3 linked regions of the Rattus norvegicus genome follow. The main gene of each other region encodes a partner of the protein of the gene in region 3 in a complex. Links are inferred from orthologs where the notes say so. Each region holds a gene or a part of one and is shown on either strand. Other genes may lie near its edges.

What was found.
Region 1: the proteins of Ddn (region 3) and Wwc1 are in contact, whole or in part, in a crystal structure (PDB 6J69), measured with the Mus musculus proteins. The link is inferred for Rattus norvegicus from reciprocal best matches to the Homo sapiens genes DDN and WWC1. Residues at the interface, in NP_001013763.1 of Mus musculus: Tyr227, Val228, Ala229, Pro230, Pro231, Ser232, Tyr233, His237, Arg238, Thr239; in NP_740749.1 of Mus musculus: Glu13, Glu14, Ala15, Arg16, Asp17, Tyr23, Ile25, Asp26, His27, Arg30, Thr31, Thr32, Ser33, Trp34.
Region 2: the proteins of Ddn (region 3) and Magi2 are in contact, whole or in part, in a crystal structure (PDB 6KKG), measured with the Mus musculus proteins. The link is inferred for Rattus norvegicus from reciprocal best matches to the Homo sapiens genes DDN and MAGI2. Residues at the interface, in NP_001013763.1 of Mus musculus: Asp222, Arg223, Pro224, Pro225, Pro226, Tyr227, Val228, Ala229, Pro230, Pro231, Ser232, Tyr233, His237, Arg238, Thr239, Leu240, Gly241; in NP_001164217.1 of Mus musculus: Glu308, Met309, Ala310, Tyr311, Thr312, Glu313, Gly315, Tyr318, Ile320, Asp321, His322, Lys325, Thr326, Thr327, Ser328, Trp329, Asp358, Tyr361, Tyr364, Val366, Asp367, His368, Arg371, Arg372, Thr373, Gln374, Phe375.

What each region holds. Positions count from the first base shown.
Region 1 is NC_086028.1:20,839,581-20,843,525, forward strand, and holds part of Wwc1 (protein KIBRA), read right to left. Parts: intron 2,786-3,945; coding exon 2,696-2,785; intron 1,375-2,695; coding exon 836-1,374; intron 1-835. UniProt on the Homo sapiens protein: Regulator of the Hippo signaling pathway, also known as the Salvador-Warts-Hippo (SWH) pathway.
Region 2 is NC_086022.1:16,759,001-16,763,537, forward strand, and holds the start of Magi2 (membrane-associated guanylate kinase, WW and PDZ domain-containing protein 2), read right to left. Parts: upstream 3,136-4,537; 5' UTR 3,001-3,135; coding exon 2,700-3,000; intron 1-2,699. Other genes in the region: uncharacterized protein 4921504A21Rikl, read left to right, coding at 3,596-4,175. UniProt on the Homo sapiens protein: Seems to act as a scaffold molecule at synaptic junctions by assembling neurotransmitter receptors and cell adhesion proteins. Plays a role in nerve growth factor (NGF)-induced recruitment of RAPGEF2 to late endosomes and neurite outgrowth.
Region 3 is NC_086025.1:131,833,182-131,837,904, forward strand, and holds the start of Ddn (dendrin), read right to left. Parts: upstream 3,072-4,723; 5' UTR 2,924-3,071; coding exon 2,877-2,923; intron 2,469-2,876; coding exon 554-2,468; 3' UTR 1-553. UniProt on the Homo sapiens protein: Promotes apoptosis of kidney glomerular podocytes. Podocytes are highly specialized cells essential to the ultrafiltration of blood, resulting in the extraction of urine and the retention of protein.

The sequences.
Region 1 (3,945 bases), on a different chromosome or scaffold from region 3:
TCAGTATAAAAATCCCGCGTGCGCACCCATGGACGCGCCATGGTGCACAGGTGGAGGTCAGAGGACAACTTTTGGGGATCAGTTTTCTTTTACTGCGGGTTCGGGGTGCCCAACTCAGGTCGCAAACCTTGTTCCGTAAGCACCTTTGAGTTGTCTTATCTGCCCATGGATTCTTTTTCTTTTTTTTTTTTTTTCCCCCGTATTTTGAGAAAAGATCTCCAAGTTTCCAGACCAAACCGGCTATATAGTGGAGAATGACTTTGCACTCCTGGTCTTTACGCCTCTTCCCCCTAAATGCCGGGGTCATAGTTGAATTGCTGCTACACCCTCTTACTCTCACCGCCCTTCCCCCTCCCCCCCTCCCCCTCATCATTTAAGCCTCAATCCATTCTGACCTGGCTGCCTCAACTCCACCGAAAGGCTCCACCACACATCGCTGTTATCCCCTTCCCATGCCTTTGCCTGGTACATTTCTAACGCCCCCGTGGCTCCCTCCCGCTGAACCCAAGCTTTGCGGCAGCGGGGGAGGGGGCGGCCCTTGTCTGTTGTCAACACTGACCCCTCCAGCGGCTACATTTGCCATATCAACGGAGAGCTTAGATGAATTAATCCATTCATACTCAATTAGCCCAGCCAGGATCTGGATTCATTTTAGTAGGCGCTAAATATCTGTTGAGTGAAATCCACCACAAAACAAAACCCTAGCCCAGGGACCTAGCACATTCTACCTTTGTCAGGATCTACCAACCCCATAAAGACCCAGCCATCCACAGTCAGGAACTACGGCAGGAATCCCCCGCTTTCTGGTTCCCCATAAGGGCACTGTGCTCCTTACCCTGGCCCAGTGGTTTGCCCTCGGGTCCTGGTTCCTCCAGCCGGAATCTTTCCCGGGCGCCATCGGTGCCGAGGCTCAGCTCACAAAGAGTGGGGCTCAGCTCTGTGTCTTCAAACTCCAGAGGGGTCAGAAAGGCATCTCCAGCCAGGAGGGGGTCAGCGATGAGAGGGGAACAGGGAGGGGACGGGGAGGAGAGAGATGAGCGTGGAGACAGGGAGGTCATGGATCTTGGAGTGCCGGATAGGGAGCGCAGGGCCTGCAGGCGGCTGCCTCCCTCTGCCTTCTGAGTCTTGGCCACCTCATCCTCGTGGATGGTGGTGATGCAGCCTGAGGGCCGGAAGCCTGTGGCACCCTCCAGGAACAGCAGTTCTACTTTGCTCGGGAGCTCTGAGTCCAGCTGCTCGAACGGGTCGTAATAGAGGTCAGTGAAGCTGGCTGAGGTGGAGGAGTCCAGGCTAGAGGCAGCCAGGGAGCCCCGGCTGGACGTAAGTGACCCAGGGCTACTGCCTGAAGACAGTGATTGCATACTGCTGGAGAGGCTGGGGACAGGGAAAGGGAAAAGGTAACATGGAGTAAGGAGAACACTGGGGACTCCACCGGGCTTGGGAGTCATGAACATCATCTTCCCAGCCCACTTGACAGCCTAAGCTGGACCATGCACCCAGTTTCACTGAGGAGAAAATAGAGATCTAGAGAGAGCTGGGGGCCCAGAGTAGCAGAGCAGGTACCCGTGAGCCTCTTGCTTAGTAGCTCAGGCTAGCCTTAAACTCCTGATGCTCTGAGTCCTGAGATCATACACCTGGAAACCCCACACCCGGATCCCACTTTTCTCCTCTTCTATCTTTGTTTCTTATTGGCCACACTGCATCTTTATTAAAACATTTCTTTTGCTTGTTTCCTTGGATCGGTTGACTGAGATAGGATCTGACTGTGCCGCTCTGGCAGGCCTAAGACTTGATATGTAGACCAGGATGGTCTTGAACTCACAGAGATAAGGCCTGCCTCTGCCTCCTGAGTGCCCCTGGGATTAAAGACATCTGCCACACTTAGTACCTTTCTTGAAATCGACTCCCATTTTTTTCTTTTTCTTTCCTTTTTTTTGGAGGTGGGGGTAGGGGGCACATACAGACCTGAGGCTGGCCTTGAACTTCCAGTCTCCCCGATTCTCCTCCCACCTGCTAAATGCTGGGATTACAAGTGCACCCCTTCACACTCTGCTCTAGTCACTTTTTTTTTCCCAAAATTTTTTGTTTTGTTTTTTTGTTATAGGGCCTCTCTCTGTGTAGTTCTGGCTGTCCTGGAACTTGCTATGTGGACCAGGCTGGCCTCAGAGAGCAGCCTGCCTCTACCTCCCAAGTGCTGGGATTAAAGATATGGGATACCAATACCATACTAGAATGTAATTCACTTTTTAAAAAAAATGATAAAATATTTAACTTAAAAGGAGATCTAACATCATAAATGACCATCGAAAGGTTATTTATTGGTATAAACAGGAAGAAACCACTTTTGTTGGGGATGAGAGGCGGGGTGCTTTTAATGCTACTATGAAGTTCCAGTCATATACTTCAACCATCAAGGCCTGAGCTTACGGAAAAACCTACTACATGCTGTAAACGTGGGCTAGAAGGCAGACCCAACGGGCATCTCCCAGGGGCTGTCTCTGTTTGTAGAGTCCCACGGGATGAAGCACCCTGTGGCCGGCCACCCTAGCCAAGCCTGTATCAGCTAGAATGACAACCTTCTATGCTTCTAAATGTCTTTCCTCAAGCCACGGAGGAATGGCTTGTATGGAACTTGTACGAATGGCAGTGTGGAACTGGGCCTTCCCCACGGGGATGGTCACCGCCCACCACTCACCTTTTCAACTGAGAGTGCAGGGCGGCCACCTGCCGCGTGGCTTCCTCCAGTTCTCGCACCAGCTGGTTCCTCTTGCTGTTTAACTTCAACCTGAGGGAGAGGAGGTAAGACAATCAGCTCCAAAGGGATGCAATGCTCCAGCTCCTCCTGCGATCTCCGGAAAAGAGAATAAGGCCCAGGCCCTTAAAGGCACCAGGCCAAGGGTGCAGGCACAGGAACTGGGTAGAAACGTACCACAGTGCTGTGGAGAGGCAGAAGCTCTTTATACACAAATTCTATAGTAAGTGTGCAGCCACCTGCGACACCTTAGAGACTAAGCTAGGAACCGAACACATGGCACCGATGTAGGATGTATTGATATGTGCCTGGGGAGAATGATTTTAACAGCTTTACAAAATGAGAAAATTTGAGGCTCTTAGTTACATAGTTTACTCAAAACTATGGAATTAGTGGAAGAATTAGGATTCCACCAAACTACCATTCTTTCCTTCTCCTGCTTCAGCTGCTACCCCCTCCCTTCCCTCCCTCCTTCCTTTCACCAACTAATGTTTACCCAGGTGACACTGGATGCTGTTTCCAGCACCAGGGACAGAGCGGCGAGGGACAGAACTCATTGCTTCTCTTACAGAACATGGAGGGTGGAAGACAACAGGCGTCTAATTAGAGCGCGGTGCTAACGAGGTCCGAAAACAAACAAACAAACAAACGAACAAACAAACAAAACGAAAAAAATCAAAAGCAGAGAAAGGAATCCCTAATTGAGAATGAGAAAATGGCTTCATGATCGTATTTCTGGCACCTACCCTTGGTTGTGTCTTCCTGGGTTCCCAGGATCAAAGCTAGATCACTTTCCCGGGCTCCCTAACATCTGGCTGAGGCACGTGAGCAAGCTCTGGCCAATGGGATATAAGCAGAAACCGTGTGTATCAGACTGAAGTGGTCAAGGAAAGTGTTCCTCAGTCTCTGTGGCCTTAAAGGGGAGGTGGGCAAGCTGTGGCCTCTTCAACAACAAGGGAGGCCGCCTAAGATATTGTATGGGTAAGAAATAAACTTCAAGAGAGCTTATCCACAGAGGTTTGGGGCTGTTGCTTACAGCAATTGGATCAAACTAATAAGAGAAATCGAAGTGGCTCACTAGACAGAAAGGAGTCGGGAAGGAAGGGTTCTCTTTTCCTAGATGAAGAGGCTGAGATCATTCACTCTGCCGGGGGGTCTGGATGATAAATTTCCACGTCAAGGTGACTCACTGC
Region 2 (4,537 bases), on a different chromosome or scaffold from region 3:
TTCTTTCTTTCTTTTTTTTTTCCGGAGCTGGGGACTGAACACAGGGCCTTGTGCTTGCTAGGCAAGCGCTCTACCACTGAGCTAAATCCCCAACCTCCCAAAAGCTATTAATTATTTAATCTATATCTGTTTGAATTCAGTAGATGAATGTCTATTATTGGACACCTGGATGCTGACAGACTAAGGGTTAACATATACTGTGAAAAGGTTTTCACCTAAATACCTCAGTCCATAAAAATAAGTTTCCTGAATCTAAACAGTTATATTTTTCCAAACAAAATATAAGCAAGAAGCTAATTGATCAGGACCAACTTTAGCTAAAATCAAGGCTGGATGGAGATGGACCTCTGTGGATCTTTCTGCTTCTTTGCCAAGATCCAGAATAAGGGAAACCTCATCTTACAACATTGCTCACAGCTCTGCTCTGCTAAAGATTCTGCTTCCCCAAGGGAAAGACTTGCCAAATTCGCCCTAGTTTTATCATTTATCACAGAATAGGCAAAAAAAAAATCCCATTTCTTATCTAAGATTCCCTATGTGCACAACTTTTGTGCCTTCACTCTTTCATTGTCTCTCTGGATGTCAATTGCTAAGTGGCTAGTACCAGATATTTTCTTTTAATCATTAATTACATTAATACTAATAAACATTTATCGTTTACGAGTGTTAGAGTTGGGCAAAGTCTATCTCAAGATGTAGACATCAGAGTAAAATGCAGAAATAAAATGGTCAGTGGAAACCACAAGGAAAAAAATCACTGTGGAAGTGTGTTAACTTGGGCTGGTGAGGCTCATCTCAGGAAAAGCTTCTCACCAAGGCTAATTTCCCATCTCTGACCCCCAGAACATTAGAGGAGAACTGATTGGCAAGGGCTGTTTTCTCATTTCCATATCACACAATGGGCATATCCACCCTCCATCCCATCCATCCATTCATCCATCCATAAACCATCAACCCATAAACAAATAAGTATAAACATTAACTTTTGCCGTTGCTTTCCTTTGCAAATACCAGTATTTTTGCCACCAAATAACGGTCGATGGTCAATTGTGGTAGATTTCTTGGCCTCTAACCTTGAACTCTGCATTTGTTATTTGCTATGATCCACTCTGTTAACATAAAATGCATGAGCACAACTTTCTGAATGTGAGTTCAAAGTATGTCACAACTGGAGGTTACTCTAATATCTGACCCATCTTCTTCGGTGTCACACAATACCGCACGTTTGCGTTAGATGATCTAAAATGATAGAGGATGAACACTCCAGAAATTCCACTGAAGATGTTTTCCTCCGTGACAGCTTAGCTTTGGGGAAGTTTATCAACCTTTCTTCTAGGTCGTTTACTTCGAAAGTTTTTGTTTTGTTTTGTTTTGTTTTGTTTTATGCTGGAAAAAAAATCCACAACTGCTCTGTGGTATTTCTTCATAATGGATCGCAGCATGAATAGCAATTCAGAATACAGTGATACTCAGAATTTCAACACTGGCGCAAGACAGAGTAACAATAGACAACAAACTGTCATACCAATAACGCTGGTATGAGTGAGACACATCTGTCCTCTCCACCTGTGCCACCCAGGAAACTGCATTACCACCAGAGGAACACAAAGACATGCTACATTTGTAAAATAAAGTCTCTTCTAATGAAACTTTTATCTCAGGCTTTCCTCCCTCAGGGCCACAATTTTTATTTCAAGCCAAGACATTCATTGTTCAGCAAGATTCCAATCTCTCTAAATTCACTTCCCAGCCCTGAAAGAAGCTCATCAAAGCCAAGTTATACACAGGGAGCCTGAGCTGTGACCAACTTGCCTCTCCATCCACCTCCGTGCTACAAACATGCCCCCGGGTCTGAAGCTAGAGGAGAGCCCAACCACAGAGAAATCCTAGTCAAGAAGAAAATCCCAGTCAATGAAGAGCACTTCGGGGGAACGCTTGATTGCTGCAGTCTGCCTCCCCACCAACACTACAAACTAGCTCTCCCAGCTCCTAGCATTAATCTCTGCCCCTCCTCCTGCCTGCTGGCCAGAGGGATCTCTAGGGTTAGTCAGTCTGCACGTGACTCCCGGTGCCCACATGACAAGACCATGGGCGGGGGAGAAAGGAGTGAAGCAGGGAAAAAGTTACTGAACACTGGTCAGAGCGTCCAAACCAATTTATTCATTTCCTTCCTTGTCAGCCAGTGGCTCAGGGGTCCCTAGGGAACCGCTACTGACCAAGGTGTCTCCAGACTACTTTTGGATATACTGCAAGCATTCTCCACTTGCCCCAATATTCAGAGCTTTTCCCAACCTCCCTAGTGACACCTCTGCACCTCAAGTTGCTCCATCTTCCTTTCTTCCTCACCCCTGGCTTTTTTTCCTTCCCCGAAAGCTCTATGTCCACTGTGGGCATGCCACTGACGCACATTCTATTTGGCCCTGGAGCTCAGAGGAGGTCGGACAAGGCCAAGCATCTTCCAAAGGGGAGGGTCCAACTAGGCAAACTAAGTTGCCTGCTACACTGCCACCTGGCTCAGCCAGCCTACCAGTCCCCCTGCCCCCGTCCCACTATTGCTCCGAACACAGTTAGGATGCTCTCTGGACCCCACCCCGCGGTGGCGCAGCATTCACCCATCCAACCCCCGCGCCCACCCTATTGATGCCCTCCCCACGCCGGGGTCCCACCACCCGGCAGAGCACCGAGCAAGCTGCGCTCACCTTGCTTGACACACTTGAGCCGGAGGGGGTCCTTGCAGTGTTTGATCACGGCCAGAACATCCCTGATGGTGAGCCCCGCCACGGGGGTCTCGTTCACCTCCAGCAGCAGCTCCTCGGACACCAACTTGCTGCCGCTTTCATAGGCCACCTTGCCCGGCTTCACCTCCCCCAGGTAGGGGAACTGTCCGTTTTCGGCGCCCCCCTTCAGTTCAAAGCCCAGCTGGCCCTCCGGGTTTCTGCCAATGACACTCTCGTGGACTTTGCTAGTCCAGTGGCTTTTCTTTTTCAAGCTTTTGGACATGGCAGTAGGGTGAGTCTCCTCAGTTCCTGAGGGTCCGTTGGGAAGGAGGGTCTGGGAGTCAAAATCGGGATGGAGGAGCAAGGGGGCCAAGGGAAGAGGGTGGCAGACTTTGCCTTTCTCTCCCTCTGCTCCGCGCTTTCCCTCTTCTTTGGATGGAGTGTGGCGGAGGAAGGGGGAGGATGAGAGGGACGGCTGGGCAGAGGTAGGAGAGCTTGGGTGAGGTTGTGCTGTCCCTTGAATGACACTCAAGGCTTTGGCCCCGCAGCGGAGGAAGCTGTGGTGGCGTTGGCGGCGTTAGCGGCGGTGGCGGCGGCCGAGCCAGCGCGAGCAGTGGCCGAGCTGGTGAGCGGGTGGCGTGGGGGTGGGGAGGAGGGTAGGGATGCCGGGGGCCACTCCTGCGTGCTGCGAGTGGGGAGCGCGCGCGCGCTCGCCGGCCTCTGTGTTGTTAGCCGATATCCATGGCAGCTGCAGTGGCAGCGGTAGGGAACGCGTGTGTGTGCGCGTGTGCGCGTGTGAGCCTGTGTACTAGTTGTACTGTACTGGCAGGATGTAAGCGGGCGGCAGAGGGGGGTTCGGGTGGGGGGGGGGATAGGGGATGCGAGCGGAGGGAGGAGGCGCGCGCACCGGGTGGAGCGCCAGGGAGGGCTTCGCCGCGGTTTCCCTCCCTCCGCGGCTTGACCCGGTAGTGAAGGCGCGGGGAGAGGCAGGCCCCGGGCCGCCCCGCAGCCTTCGGGAGGAGGCGGGAGCCGGGAAGGAGGGGAGCGGAGGCCCGGCGTGGGCAGGCCGGCGAGAAGAGCCTGGATCCTTGGGTGGACCTGTCTATAGCTTCCCTGCGAGCCGGGCTGCTCGCCTGCAGGACGCCCGGACTTGCTCACACCCCAGCAGGGACAAAGCAGAAATCCGGGGACCCGAGGGCAAGCCCGGTGCCGGGTGGCCCATCTGCAGCGCCTCCAGTCTTCTGGGGCTCCATCCCAACGCGAGGAAGCTGGAGTTCGGAGTCCTAGAGTGGAACTGCAGAGGGCCTGGCAGCCCAGCCGGAGCCGGTGGAGAGAGACTTCACTGTTGGCTCGCTCCACTTTTACAGTCTTTACGTTCCTCGCAAAGTTCTCAGAAGTGGCCCTCTGATAGAGGAAAGTTAGAGGAACGAGTCTGGTCGTCCTGGCTGCAAGAAGAAGGTGAAATAACATCTGCAGAGCAGGGCCATGTGTCCCCTGGGAAGAAACTGAAGAGGATTGAGTGGAGACTGGGTAGAGGGCACCTGCCCGAGTTGAAAACTGGAAAGGGGCGGTGGGGGAGGTGTTAAGGAGATAACTGGTGTAAGAGACTGGACATAGACATGGAGAGTTTAATCTGGACAGGAGTCAAGCCTTAGTTTAATCAGACAAACAACCTCTGCTACAGGAAGGGAAAGAAGGCTGGTGATGGAGCATGAACTCAGCTCGCTGTACCCCCATCTAGCTCCTTCCCCTTCTTAGAGCCAGGTGGAAAACTAAGCAAGGCACAGGAAGCTGAGGGCCGCTGATTTCTCCAGGGAAAC
Region 3 (4,723 bases):
GTTCACAAAATTCTAGGGACAAAAGAATGGGAGGCAGAAATCGCTCGTTTTACATTTACATTAGTCCCTGATGCCCGGGCAGAAAAGTAGTCACTCTGAGATCCACCAGCTAAGTCAGTGGCAGAGTTGGAATTGAAACTTGAGTTGTAACATCTAGGAGAGCCCTCTTGCCAATTTGCTGGTTGAGTGTATGCATTCTGCATTCATTTCTTCTCTGCTAAAAGCCCTCTGTCTCCTGCACTAGGTCACTAGGTTCAAAAGCCTCTCCGTTACTTTTCCTCTCCTGCCAGGGACCCTGCCCTGCCCTTCACTTTGCCTCTCTGAACAGTTCCACACCGAATGTAGCAGGTGTGGGATCCCACCCTCTCTTTCCCTGAAACTGACTCTTGAGTCAGTTCCCTCGTTCCTCCCCTCTCCTCTGTCTCAAGGGAACAGGTACAGGTAGGAAAGAAGAAAAGGAAGCAAACGAAGCCTGGAGAGAGGAAAGGAGCGCGGTGAGCCCAAGGCTGGCTGGGCCGAGCGACACGAGGACAAGGAGGGGCGTCGCTCACTCTCACTCTCTCTTTCCCTGTGGCGTTTTCCTGGTGTCCTCTCGGACGAGGCCTTCCTCGGTTTGACTGATGACATCTAGAATCTCCCCGATACTGTCGCCCAGCTCTGCTGTCTTCCCGCCTTCCCTGGGCCGGGTGTTCCCAACCGCAGGCAGGGTCCTCTCATTCCGCCAGGAGGCGCCTGGGGCGTCTGTGTCGCTTCCATCAGAGGAGCCACTATGGGCGCTGAGATCCTCGGCTTCGTCTGAGTCCGAATCTGGGGCGGTGTGGCGGCGGATGCGGGACACGGCTTCCCGCAAGGCTCCGGCGTAGGGCCCTGGAGTCCGCGCCCAGCCCCCGCCCGCGCGCCGCGGGACCCCAGCTGCTTCTGGGCCCTTCACGCTGCCCGCGCATCCCGGAGCCGCTGGGCCTAAGGTCGAGTGCTCTGGGCTACCTGGATGCGTGGGGGCATCTCGCGGGTTCACTTCGCCGACAGGGAACCCCAAACCGCTGGAGGAGCGCTCCTCCAATGAAGAATCCCCCTGCTGTCTGCCCTCAGCCTCGAACTCGCGACCCTCACTCGGTGGGTTTAAGACTCGACTGCTCAACAGTCGCTTTTGGCAAACTGAAGGGTTGGCAGCGGCCCCTTTGCCCTCCTCCTCAAGGCAGGGTTTGGGTTGCCTGAGGCTGTCGCTCACGATGCATGACTCCCCAGAGGGCGCGAGCTGCCTCTGCTGGGTTCGAGGGGTTGGAACGTACTGGGACTTTATCACCACGCATGTGGCATCAATGACAAAGATGCCTTCTCTACCAGCGGGACCTCGGGAACTGCGGGGCAGGGTGTGGGCACGGCGGGTCACCTTCCAGACTTCCAGGGTCTCATGCTCTGTCCCCTCTCTTTGACCCAGGGACTCTTTCCACCCGGTGCCTCCAGGAGCCCAGGGTCTGGGGAGGGTCTGGCTATGCCTAACTGGAGGCTTTTTAGGGGAGGAAAGCCAACACGTGGGAAGCCACATCTCCTCACTTCCTTCTTTCCCTTTCCTTGATCCCCTGAGGTGCTGCCTAGACCTGGGAACAGGACGTGGTGGGCTACTGATCGTGGACCCAGAGAGAGCGACCTCCGTGACTGGACCAGTAGTTTTGGCTTGGGAATGACCATCACCACCACTGTTTAGGCCAGCAGCAGCTAGGCCTGAACTTTTCTCTACAGCCCCTTTGCAAGACTCTGGCCTAGCTCTGGCTGCTGCACAGCCTGGAGCTCCTCCTAAGAGTCCCCGTCCCTGTCTGAGACCCCAAGCTCCTAGAACATCCCGGTAGATTCGAGGATCCAGCCTCTTCTTCGTGCGCCCTCCCTCTGTCCTGGTGGTAGCTGGCACTGGGGCTGATGAGGTGGGCGCCCGGGAGAGCTCCGGGCCTCGCTTAGTCCCCAGGGTCCTGTGGGGACCTTCATAAGAAGGTGGAGCCACGTAGGGTGGCGGCCGGTCCCAGCGGCGTCTTGGGGCTGTGCCTGCAGCGCCTCTCAGCAGCAGGTGAGCCTCGTAGCTAGGAGGCCCTGGCCTTCTGCCTCCCCATGGCCCCGCCCATGCAACCCCTGGGTCACCCTGCGGGAGCGCGGATGGTCGGGGCGCTCGCCCCACCTGCCCGAAGCGCTCTGGTCTGGAGAAAACTGGAAACCCTGTAGGTTGGGCCGCCCGAAGGGCGTTCCGGAGCTCTGGGCGGGGCTGACCTAGGGGACTCCGTCGGGCCCCGCCAGCCTTGCGCCTTTTTCTCTCGGTCTCCTTGGCCTCCCGCTCCTGCGACGCCGCCTTTCTTTTCTCCTGTTCTCGGGCTCGGACCTCGGCGGGGGGCCCTGCCCGCCAGTTGGTCGCCTCCTGCAGCACCCTGGAGGCCCAGGGTCGGCGGGGTGGCGGCTCAGGGGATCCGGGGCGCAGCCTACACCTGGGACAATGAGCAGGAACCCAGGTGAGCAGTTTGCGGGGACAAGGAGCCGAGGTCCGGGGAGCTGGGAGCACTGGAGACCACTTGGGGCAGCCATGTGGGAGGGTTCGTGTGAGTGTCTGAGCGAGTGCACGTGCGTATGTGTTAGGGCTGAAGTCGAAATGAGACTCCTCACCATCTCTCCGTGCACACTTTAACAGCGACTGCCCCATCTCACCGCCTGCCACTAGCACCACTCCTGTCCCCCCAAACAGCGCTCAATGAGTCAGGCCCCAGTCCTCGACGAGTGGGGGAGGGAGACGCGGGAAAGAGAAGGGGCCAGCAGCAATCGCTGGTGCCAGCGGGGGGGAGGTCTGGACCCCACTTCCCGCCCCACCACTTGCTGCCCCTCACCCCTCCTTCACTCACGTGCGGTTCTGGGGCCCACGGGCCCAGTAGCTGGCCTGGATGTCCATGGACTGTCGAGAAGCAGCGCGACGGCTATAATGACAGGAAATAGTCTTCACTTCAATCACCAACAGCTTGGACTTCTGCACCCAGAGGCAGCTGCCGGACTCCTCATCCTGGAGCTCCCGGGGGCTGTCGGGCCCCTCGGAGAATAACGGGCCATCCAGCATCCTGCCCCACCCCACCCCGGCCCCCCACCCTCCCACCCGCCCCGTGAGCCCCCTCCCAACCCAGGGAGCCGGCGCCCACTGCAGAGCGGCAGGCCCAGGGACTGGCAACTATATATACCCGGGCACACGTGTGTGCCTGTCTGTGTGTGTGTGAGTGTGTGTGCGAGCGCGCGAGCGCGCGCGCATGTGACACGCCGCCGTGGACGGCTCCGCGCTGCTTCCTCCCCCCATGTGCACGGCCGCCCCCTGGGGCCTGGGATTGGACGCCCCTTCCCACTCACTGCTCAGGTCCCCCAAGCCTAATGGGACCCGCGAGTGGGTGGGGAGAGACTTCGGATTCTTGCCAAGCTTTCGATGCCCTCTCCCCCAGCCCCCATTTCTTCATCCTTCCCGAAGTTTTAACCCTTTGCTTTCCTGTTTGTCAGGTTGCCTAACCACCAGTGCTCTATCTCTGACTGCCTGCCTGCCTGCTCGCCTGGACTCCTTTCTCTTGACAGGGAGTGGTGAGAACAGAACTCAAGGTCTATGCCTGCCACTCGCTGCTGCTTTCCATGGGGTTGGGGTGCAAGAGAGACCGGCCCACAGCTGGGGGGAGCGGGCTATTTTTAGTTTCGGTGGCATTCGGGTGCAGCTGAGATGAGTAACCAGTTCCTAAGCAGTGCAGAGAAGAGGCACCGCTTTCGGGAAGCTTTTGTGCGACTTTGGGGGACAGCTGCTCCCCCAAGATCTCAGAAAGGTGCACCTGTACTCCTCAGCTTTCTCTGCTGAGGCAGAACTCAGTCTATCCTGGTATCAAGCAGCAGGGCAACTCCCACTCTAGATATGGGTGTCCTTGGACACCCACAGAGCCTTCCATGAGCAGCAGGCTAGCTCCCCTAACCCAGAAGCCAGGATTCTAGGGTTACACAGTTCTGTGCCCACACAGCTCTACCAAGCCTTATGTGGAGTGCAGATAGAGTGCTTATATACACTTGTACCCTAACAGAGGCGGATGGACTAGTGTGCTCTTGTGACACAGCCAAATCCCCTAGCAACAGAAAAGATAAAAGTGGCCTTTCTCTCCTAAATTGGGGCTTCCACTCACGACTGTCGCCATGCCTAGTTCATTTGACTGCCCTGATATGCAGCTCACCTTTTGGGCTCACCCTATTCTTGGGGTGGGGTGCTGCTTGCACCCTCAGCATCCCTCCCCCTAAGCCTGTACCAGGTGTCCCCTGATTCACCATGGTAATGTTAGTGGCAGCACAGCCCACGCCAACCCTTCCATGCAGAGACTTAGCAACCATGCCTGGCAACCGTAGCAGCAGCTCAGTGGAGGGGAGGGGTGCAGGGAGCGGGCTGAGAGGGTGGCAATGGCTCCTGAGGAAGAAGGGACCACTTGCATTTGCTGCTCCTGACTTTAAGATCAGAAGCCTGTGAGCTTCCACATTGTATCCCTGGTCTCCTTCAGCTGCTTCCTTGGGCTGAGACTTGTTGGGGTTCTTGGGGGGTAAATGGGAGAGACAAAAGATCACAGTTGGTTTTCCATAAAAATGCATGGAACATTTGGATACAGAGCCTTCTTTCTAAGGGGACAGGGACCAAAAGAGTTGTTATAGTGCACACTCATTGAGAAACAGCAAGGTAGAACCTGACCTC